Linked DNA regions of Schizosaccharomyces pombe. The gene in region 1 interacts genetically with each later gene. Each region holds a gene or a part of one and is shown on either strand. Other genes may lie near its edges. The genes, in order: sap1 and abp1.

Region 1 (4,954 bases):
CTCGAAAAGTGTTTGGGAACTTATACAACGAAACATTAAATACGCTGTTTCTTATGGTGGTATCTTTGAAATTAACACCTCTGCATTTCGCAAAGGATGGAAGACTGCGTATCCTCAGCAACGACTTCTTGAGCTGATGGTTGAACAAGGAGCGCAACTCACTTTATCTGACGATAGTCATGGACCACATCAAGTTGGCTTGAATTATCATTTGGCCAAGTCGTATCTGGACAAATGCGGTATTACAAGCCTCTGTATGATAGAAAAGGGCCCCGATGGTAATGGCACGGTGGTTAAAAATGTTACGGTCGACAATGTTTGGTCTAAATTCGTTGGCACAAACGGAATAACTAACACATAGAAGTAATACAGTTTAAATTTGTTTCCGTATTGGGGCCATTTTTGGACTTGAAATTTTTTTACAAGGGAAATTCAAAAGTACACTGTTTGGTCACCTGAAGTATAGTAACTAGCTATTCACCATATTTCAATCACTTCGTATGAAATGGCCGGCAAAGCTTTTGTTGTGGTGGATGATGATCCCATTTATGAGGAGCTCCCGTTTAACAAGACTGTTTGTTTTACACGAGTACTACGATGTCTCAATATTTGTTCCACTTGCACATGAACTATCGATTGCTACGATACATAGATTTCTGTCGCTTAAAATTGTATTAATTGTACATTAACTCAATTGAGTAGGCCGACTAATGGCCAACACTACTGAAACCAATTTAAGGGAAAAAACTATTCTAAATAAGAGATAACCATGATGTGACGTTACAAGCAAAGCATGGGTGGGACCATTGGGCTTTCGTCAAGCTTCAACCGAAAGTGCAAGGAGGATTGCTTGCAAAACATATGACAGTACCTGTTTCAAGCTTGTTTGAAGGGAAGAACGATAGTCGTACGAAATTGGGATAAAGCACGAAAGCAAAAAGGACAACGAATTAGTGCGAAAGGGAAAGAGGGCAAAGGCAAATAGCGGTGGAAAGCGAAAACAAAGCAATCACCGAAACTGTTTGAAGGAGGACAAAAAATAAAAAAAAACAAAGAATTTAATATGTCCGGATTGAAAGAAAAAAAAATCAATATTAGTTTAATAACGGAAGAGACAAGAAAATGCGGAGAAAATAGAAGCAACCCAACTAGCGCACATACAGAAAGGCTTCGTTGCCTTTTTATTTGGAAAGGGGCAAAGATACCTACGAGGAAGGAAGTAACCAGCTTTACCGAATGATTCGCCTTGCACACAACTAGGAAGAGGGAGAAATGAAAGATATTTACATCAAGCAGACCGTCAGTCAAAAGTAAAGAAGAAAAAAAATTTATATTCAACCGCTCAACATAAGTTAAACAAGGATTGAGAACGAAATTCTCGAAGAAAAGAGGTTGTGTGTTCACAGGTAGGAGGAGGATGGGCGGAAAAGTTGGGATTAATGGTCACCAAGATTAGGAGAGATGCTAGAATGGAGACCGCCACGAATGGCATTCATATTAGCGCCCATGTTGGCACCCATATTAGTGCCCATGTTAACGCCATGGGGAGCGTAAGCAGAGGGAGGCTCGAGCTTGGACAACAAATCGTTATGATCGAGAAGTTGTTGAAGGCGCTTATTTTCGGCAAGAACTTCATCCATTTTAGCATTTACCTGCATTAATTTTTCCTCATTATCGTGAAGATGTTTGGAGAGAAAGTTGACCTTGGCGACAAGCATGTCGACGTTTTGTTGCTCTTCAGTGAGCTTCTTGAGACGTTCATTAATTTCATCATTGCAATCACACTTGCGCTTGCCAACCAAGAATTTTTCGCGATACTGTTGGAGCTCGCTGAGACGGGCCTTCCATTCATCGCAAAGTTGGTCGAGCTCATCCTCTTCGGGAGTGGTCTTCATGCCGGGTTGACGATGGGCCAAACGCTGTTCGTAGACGCGCATGATGGAGATGATTTGATTGCGACAGGCGGACTCGGTATGAATAGCGAGGCCCTCGTCCTCATAACCGATACGGGCGATCTTGGCGTAAAACTCACTAGTTTTACGGTCGACGAGTTCGTGCTTGTGACGCACGACTAAGCGCATGAGCTTGATTTTTTCCTCCAAGGACAAGTGAGTACGCTGTGCCTTGGCGGGAGAGGAACTGGGAGATAACGAAGCATTCTTTCGTTTATAGCTCTTCAGTTCCATCTTGGGAGCTTCCATAGAAAATAGGGGATCCGTCTTGAATAATTTATAGGTGGAATTTGGATTCGATTGTCCGAAATCCAAATTGCCGCTAGGGGAAGAGTGGTGTATAGTTAAAAAAAAAAAAGAGAAAAGGAAAGGAAAGGAAAAGTTGTCGCAGAAAGCTTTTGCTTTGGATATAAAAGGAGAAGGATGAAAATCGACCTTTTATAGAAGAAAAGCTAAGTGAGAGGAGGAGAAAAACGAGACGAGATGGAAAAGCAATCGAATCGTATAGGAGGAACTAACAAGATAGTAAGTATACTATGTACTAGACGAACAGTATAAAAGCAAGGTAAAAAAACAGAGTCGAGTCGAGTCAAGTTAAGCTAAGCTAAGCAAAAGAAAACAAAGCAAAGCAAAACAGGAGAAGAGTATATAGTAGAATAGAAGTTTGTAGTAGAGGTGAAAAGACGCTTCCAGTCGTAGACAAGTAGAGCCAAGCTGATCTGACTGGTGAGTCAACACAAGTAGAAGAGGTAAGAGAGGTTTTCCAACAAAGGCAGGGCAAAGCAAAACAGAGGAAAGCAATGCAAACCGATTTTGAATGAAATTATTTAAGGATCTGAACGAAGGCAAGTCCTACACGACACTGCAATACGATGGAGAGTGTGTTGGAGGTGTTGGTAAAGCGTTCGTTGGGATGCGCAGCGAGGTAAATAAGATCGAGTGCCACCAAAACGCAGGCACGGTCGGTAATGATGACATACGGTATCGCTGGTAAACGGTCACAACGAGGGATGGGGAGAGAGCCAATGAAAGCGAGGAATAAGGAGGGGCGCCACATCTGGAACGTGCGATAGCGATGAGAATGGAAAGACTAGCAACGATGGTGGCGTCATGTGGATTGCGTATTATTGGATAAGGAGGTGCTGATTTGCCGGCTCCCAGGAGCGGAATTAGTGAGATGGAAGAGTGGGTGGAAATGTGAAGATAAGAAAAGATTGCACAAACGAACAAACCCAACGTTCCAGTGGGTTAGGGGAGTGATGAAGGGGGGGAAGAGGGATGCCCGCAGAGTAAAGCAAGGAGGGAGAGGGAGGGTATTAGAGGAGATAAGGAGATGAATCATAGCGTTGTAATTGGAATAAGGAAGTGAATCAAGTGTAGTAATTAGAATAAGGATAAAAATCACTTTGTAGTAATTAGAATAAGCATGTAAATTACATTGTTGTAATTGGAATAAGGAAATAAACCACAGTATAATAATTAAAATAAAGTATGTTGAAACTTTTTTTTTCTTATTCTTAACATTCCTTATTGTGCGCTTTTCTCTTTCCTTTTCTACTCTAGGGCTTTCTTCCATACACTTTTTGCAGTGTGGACATTCATTCGATTGCAGTATGGTCGCCACTTTTATAGCAGAGAAAAAGAAAGAGAAATAATAGAATAAATAAAAGAAAAGAAAATAAAAATACAATCAAGATCAAGTATTTTTTTTATTTTTTTCTTTCTTTTCTTTCCTTTCTTTTCTTTTATTTAAACATTGTTAGACCACACTTTGTTTCACCTAAATGCATCATTGCTAGCAATCGACAAAAGTTGCTGTAAGCATTTATGAATATTGGTTGATCATTCTGATTTTCAAGAGTTTCATTGAGTAATCTGAGGTCGACCCTTGAAATGTATGGTGTTGAGTCTGTATGGATTGCTAGAATTGTTGGTACCATTCGAATTGTTTCTACCTTGTTGCAACGAAACAAAACTTGGAGGGGGAAGCAAACGAAAAAGAGAGTAGGAAGGAGTGCAGTAAATGAATAGGGATGTAGAGGGAGAGACAGTAAAAGACGACATAGAGAGGCAGTAACCCGAATAAGGCTTTAGAAAGAGTATACTAAAAATAAATAAGACTATAAAAAAAGTGCAGTAAAAAATTAAGAACTTGGAAAGAGTCAGTAAACCGATTAAGAATCTAGAGGGAGAGCAGTAGAAAGAGTTTTGATAGAAACTAAATGATTCAACTCGCACACATATATATATGTAAAGTAAAATATACAGAGTGTGAAATGATTTACATGAAAACACTTGTTGGGTATTGTAATAAAAAACAATTCGCAGGTAAACAAAGAATAACTAAGAATCAAATGAGCCACAAGTTTTCTATTTATTTAATTTTAACTTGTTTTTTGTCTGACAACAATATTATTTTCATTTATTTACTTGTTTGTTCAAATTGTTGTAAACAAAGACTAATTTAGTGATTACTCTGGGTGAAAGAATGAGCAATGCAAAATAAAAAAATAAATAGAAAATAAAAAAAATAAAATAAAAATAAAATTGATAATTAAAAATATAAAAAATAAAATTAGGAAAATAAAATTAGGAAAATAAAATCTTGAAAAAATTCACTTTATAAAAAAAAAAAAAAATCAAACTAGAATGCATTTTGTAAAGGTCTTGTATTTGTCATCTCTTCAACACTGCAAACGTCGCTTCAGCATTTTCCCTGTATTCTACCTGAAAAAACAGTATATACAAAATTCCGCCCTATCAAACACATCGTATCCTCTACAATATCTCTACTTGGCTCTTTTCCACTTTAACATTACAATCTTTCTGCTGCTTGCACATTTAATATTTCTATCTTATTTCGTTAAACGATCATGAACCAAAAATACAACAAAGCGTGCTTCCAACACAAGACATGCTTCTAACGCAAAGCGTACTCTAACAAACGTGCTCCAACACAATGCGTGCTCTTCACACACACATACAATCCATCTGCCTTCTCA
Region 2 (5,792 bases), on another chromosome or scaffold:
TGTAATAGTAGTAATGTTTTTAAATGGTTGTTGGCAAAAATATCAAGGTACGGGAATCTGGCGTTTTTTAGTATAGTTAGCTCGCCCGATTGACCCTCTTGTATTACTTATATCAGTCCATCTGTGCCTATTTACGATGAAACATAGCATGCAGAAATGCAAAGTTACTTTCTTGAACTAATTTTATTAATTCTTTATGTATCCTGAGAGCAAATTATAAAGCAGTAGTTTTTTTAGGTGATTTTTTTTTAACAACCAAATTATACATGATCAAAGTTCTTGAATCTTTTGTTTTAATACAATAAAGCAATCCTTTCATATTCTTACAACGTCTCTTTCTTTTAATCAACATTAGGCTCAATAATACGTACGAGTAACTCTTATATTATATGGTATAACCATATGAAGTGACATGTTTACTGAACAATCTTTGCTTAGCATATTGGGAAATCTCATATACGCTTTACTAGGATATTTTATATTACTATAACTCCTTATTGAGATGCATAACTTATTATATTACGATTTGTTTTTCCTATGTACACTCTTAAATCTAGGTGCTTGCATGCCAGCCACCAAAGCGATTTCTTGAGGCCCGCCATGTAAATCGGTTTGAAAAAAAAAAAAAAATGCTACACGGTCCAGTTTGTACAATGGTGATCAGTTCACCAGCCATCAGTTCGATTTTCAGCGCCTTAATTCATTTTTATATAAGTTGGCAGATCAGGCGTAAAATAACTTAAATCTTTTTTTATATTTCAAAAGGCCTTGCTTTTGTACTTCTTTCAAGTAATTGGGATAATTTCAATACTCATTGCTTTTTGTTTTTGTTTTCTTTGAGTGACTATTTACAAAAAATTACTTTATTATAAAATGTTTCTTCGCTCTATCTTCCAAACCTTGTGCGCTGTCTCTTTCCTCGCTGGAAGCGTTTTTGCTGATTCGGGTGTTTCGATTGTCTCTACCCCTGCTACTACTACAGTCTATTTAGTTCGCACTGTTGACTGTTCAAGCTCTGAAGTCACCTCCCAACCTGTTGTTACTGTTTACAATGTCCTCAAACCAGACACTGTAACTTTCACTGTTACTGAGACTGCCGGTTCCTACGCGAAGCGTTCCATTGAAATTGACAGCGATTCAGTTTCCCCAACTAGCGCTACTACGACTACTCCTGTTGCTTCAGCTACTGACGTCTCCGTATACTCTGCCAGCATTCATGTTCCTACCGGTAATCCGCCAGTGGACACTCATAACCCTCTTTCTTATGACACTGAGGTGACGGCTACTACCACCTTTTCAATTGCCTTGCCAAAGTTTAATAAAGGAGACCGTGTTAGCTCTGCCAACACCTACAGTGTCTCCTTTGTTGCCTAATACTCTGATGCCTACTTGTAAAACTTTTTGGACGCCTTCAATCCGTCGAGGATTGCACGAGCAATAACTTTCTAAGTATCTATCATTTCCATTGGTCTGTCATTTTCATGTTCATTCTACCTGCACTTCATTTCGTTTATTTTTTTTTTTGGACCCGAAATACTGATCATGTTTTTCCTATCAATTCTTAACAACAATATCTTATACATGTTCAAAACTTACTAGTCTTGCTGTTTGTAGGATCACCCTTTATTTTGATCTTTTGTCAACTGAATCCTTCAAATGCTGCTGGCCAGCATTCCATTGTTGTTTACAGAAAACTGGTGTGATCCAGATTTTTTCATGAACATTCGAAAAGCATCAAAATCATTATATTCATAGAAAATTGTTTTTATTATTTTAATTATCAAACAAATTACAGACTCAGAGAAAATCATCTATCGCTGATTCAACTAGAGATAGTTAAACATATTCCTATTATTAGTATACTCTACCTATAGCTTTTGAAATGTATGTAGTGACTAAAAGGTAGTTAATATTAACTATACGTATAAAGAAATATCAATACCTTAGAATTAGCTGAAATACACTAATGCTACGTCAAACTAATATCAACCATGAAGGACTAAGCGTTCATTGAGACGATCATATTTCCGAAATCCATAATATTATTAAAACACTAGAGTATTACAATTGCTTATTCATAAACAAGATTTCCACTTTTACTAATATGATAATAGCACATAGTACCATGAATGAGGAACACAATGACGGAAGCATATTGTACAGCGCAATTCCTTCCATTTACCATTCCCGCCCAAAATGTCATTTCAACTAGATACGAGCACGCATGGAGCTGAGATTAGAAACGTTTATGAAAAAGTACTCAGCGGTGCTGATGATTGCTCTTGGGCCATTTTTGGATATGAAAAAGGACAAGGAAATATCTTAAAAGTGGTGGCTTCTGGAAGTACGGTGTTTTTACAATAGTTTTATTTATTTTGATGACGATTTTTCTAACTTTATAATTTTAAGACGACAATGATGAATTTCTTGATGAATTTGATGAAAACGCTGTGCTGTTTGGGTTTCTACGTGTGAAGGATGTCAACACTGGATTAAATAAATTTGTTTTGGTATGTTGGTGTGGTGAAGCAGCAGCCCGTAAAGGTTTGTTCTCTATACATATGGCTACGGTTTCCAATCTTTTGAAAGGTTATCATGTTCAAATAACGGGACGTGAGTCGTCTGATCTAAATATGGATGATATTATTCGTCGAGTAGCAGATGCTAGTGGTAGTAAATACTCCGTTCATACTTCTAATTCAACTCCTCAATCAAAGCATAACGCATTTTACGATGCTAGCCAGACTTTTGGAAGTACTGCCAAGGTTGCCCCTGCACCAGCTCCTTCTACCAAAACCCCTTTGGCCAATATTTCAAAGCCAGTGGTGCAAGCGCAGAAAGACTCAAAGGACAATAGTTGGGACGATTCGTCTAAGCAAAGCAATACCCAGACTGCAAATACTACTTCAAACTTACGTGTCCCTGTAAATGCATCGTGGTCGGATGCCGGTCGTAAAGAAAAATCTCAAGAAAATAAGCCTAAACCCACTCCTTTTGGGTCTGGTGGGCCATCAAAGCCTACTCCTTTTGAATCTCATGGGCCAGCTAAGCAAATCTCTGTTCAGCCTAGCGAACACCCGAAGCCTTCTATTTCAACTACAACTACTGGCTCAAGCTATCGCTCTGCAGAATCCAGTCACGCTCCAACTACTCCGGATCATTTTAAACTTACTCCTTTGACTAAACTCGAACCTCAACCACCTTCTGGTTCTCCCTCAAAAAAACCTGTCTCTGAATTAGAAGAGCTGCATACCGCTGGTAATGTGAATTTATCTGCTAGACGTGCTTTGTTCGAAAAGAAAGAATCCTCAACTAAGAATGTTGAAAACCCAGTATCACATCATCTTAAAAGTCCTGTTCGCACAAGTTTTCCTCCTGCTTCAACTACTGCCAGCAAACAAGATTCCCCATCAACGGTACCTGTCGACAAACAAGAAACCGCCAAACCTATAAATAAACAGGTTTCATCCAATGAAACTTCAGCACAGGAAGAGCCACGTGAAAGCGTTGCAGCGCTTCGAGCTCGTTTCGCAAAAGCAAATGTTAGTGAAAATAACGATCCTCCTACATTTCCCAAGACGGCTGCTAAAATATCGAGCTTTAATTCGAAGGCAGGAACTTCTTTTGCCAAACCTCGACCTTTTACAAATAATCCCAATCCCATAAGCGCTCCTGAAAAACCGACATCTGGCGAAAGTCTTTCGTTAAATCCACCTCCAGCAATGCCAAAGGTTTTTCCAGAAAGGGATATCTCATCTGCTTCACAAAAAGCGGCGCAACCATCAGTCATTACTCCTTCGGTTCCTCAACCGCCTGCTGCTCCAGTTGTACCAGAAGCTCCTTCGGTCCACCAACCGCCTGCTGCTCCAGTTGCACCTGAAGTTCCTTCGGCCCCTCAGAGGCCTGCTGCTCCAGTTGTACCAGAAGCTCCTTCAGTTCCTCAGAGGCCTGCTGTTCCCGTTGTACCAGAAGCCCTTTCGGTCCCCCAACCACCTGTTGCTCCTGTTGCACCTGAAGTTCCTTCAGTTCCTCAACCACCTGTTGCTCCTGTTGTACCTGAAGCTCCTTCAGTTCCTCAACCACCTGTTGCTCCTGTTGCACCTGAAGTTCCTTCAGTTCCTCAGAGGCCTGCTGTTCCCGTTGTACCAGAAGCCCCTTCGGTCCCCCAACCACCTGCTGCTCCTGTTGTACCTGAAGTTCCTTCGGTCCCTCAGAGGCCTGCTGTTCCCGTTGTACCTGAAGCACCTTCGGTCCCTCAACCACCTGCTGCCCCCGTTGTACCTGAGGTTCCTTCAGTTCCTCAACCCCCCGCTGTTCCTGTTGTACCAGAAGCTGGACAACTTAATGAGCCCGTGGTTCCTCCTCTCCCACCGCATGACGAAACTCAAGAACCTCAAGTCGGTGGAGATGTCAAAGCTACAGAGCATACACAACCTACAAAGACTCCGGCCATAGTTATATATGATTATTCTCCTGAGGAAGAAAACGAAATCGAGTTAGTAGAAAATGAGCAGATTCAGATTTTGGAATTTGTCGATGATGGATGGTGGTTAGGAGAAAATTCTAAAGGTCAACAAGGTTTATTTCCTTCTAACTACGTTGAAATAACTGGACCTAATGAGACTGCCAATAATCCTCCTGCCGAGCCACAAGCAGGGGGTCCTGGTAAGTCTGTGAAGGCAATTTATGATTATCAGGCTCAAGAAGATAACGAGCTCAGCTTTTTTGAAGACGAAATTATCGCCAATGTGGACTGTGTTGATCCCAATTGGTGGGAAGGTGAGTGTCATGGTCACCGAGGACTGTTTCCCTCAAATTATGTAGAGGAAATTTAGACTTGAACGTTAAACGTACCTACCGCCTTTGCATATTGTCAATGGCTGTCTTTTACCTAGAAATGTGGGTTTAATATGACTTTATAAATGCTTGGAATGCTCTTTAGGTCAATCATAAAACTTTTGCTACTAGCCAGAAGTGTTCATGAATCAATCATCTGGAAGCCTTGCAAGCCAAAATAAATAAAGAAAATAAAAGTCTGATTTTTTAAGTTTCTTCTTTTACCTATCACTGTTGAATTTATTATATTTGATATATATTTATTTGTATCGAATTCGGTGTTTATATATGTTATGATTCTTTGTTCAAATTATGCTACTTTATTACCCACCAACTTATAAGCCATGAGTATATGCAAATTGGTTTGTGTATTGGCAAAGAAGTAATACTTTTAAATGTGCTCATGATTCGAGAACTAATCAAATATTCAATAAAATAATCAATCTTATTAGCCTACTTCATTACAGCATAGTGATATATGTATTTGCTACTCCATATTTCCTCGTTGCATTTCGCTATTTTATATTTGTATTTGTGGTCATCGAATGTATCAAATCACATTCAATACTGTTTGACAATATATTAAGAAGACCAAGTAAAAATTGGCGCTTCTCAGTCACTTATTCCAGTGGCATGAATGAATGCATATGAAGGTGACACCTTGAACAACCATGGAAAGTCATCAACCAGACAACACTGGCGGAAACGTAGCGCAGTATCATCGTCTTTAGAATTTTCATCATATGAAGAGTCGAACAGCCCCATAGAGAACACTGAAGTTTTAAAGGTTTCAGAAATTGAAGCTAAAAAGCGTCGGCGCAAAAAGCATCGATACATTTATCTAGCAGTCTGTCTCTTTTTCTTAGCTTCAGTTTTATCGTGTGCTATAATATTCCGTTTTTATCTTCATACTAATCGGGAAAACTTCTCACTCTTCAAGAATGATTCCTATAAGC

The links.
Region 2: of sap1 (region 1) and abp1, a mutation in one rescues a mutant of the other (synthetic rescue), as found in Schizosaccharomyces pombe (one study listed by BioGRID).

What each region holds. Positions count from the first base shown.
Region 1 is NC_003421.2:560,917-565,870, forward strand, and holds sap1 (switch-activating protein Sap1), read right to left. Parts: upstream 2,851-4,954; 5' UTR 2,202-2,850; coding exon 1,437-2,201; 3' UTR 660-1,436; downstream 1-659. Other genes in the region: SPOM_SPCC1672.01 (histidinol-phosphatase), read left to right, coding at 1-361. UniProt on the Schizosaccharomyces pombe protein: Binds to sequences required for mating-type switching. Makes a simultaneous contact with both the alpha and beta domains of the switch-activating site SAS1.
Region 2 is NC_003424.3:5,261,435-5,267,226, reverse strand, and holds abp1 (cofilin/tropomyosin family protein abp1), read left to right. Parts: upstream 1-2,180; 5' UTR 2,181-2,196; coding exon 2,197-2,344; exon of another isoform or gene 2,345-2,409; coding exon 2,410-4,835; 3' UTR 4,836-5,292; downstream 5,293-5,792. Other genes in the region: protein adg1, read left to right, coding at 874-1,374; dpp1 (dipeptidyl peptidase), read left to right, coding at 5,474-5,792.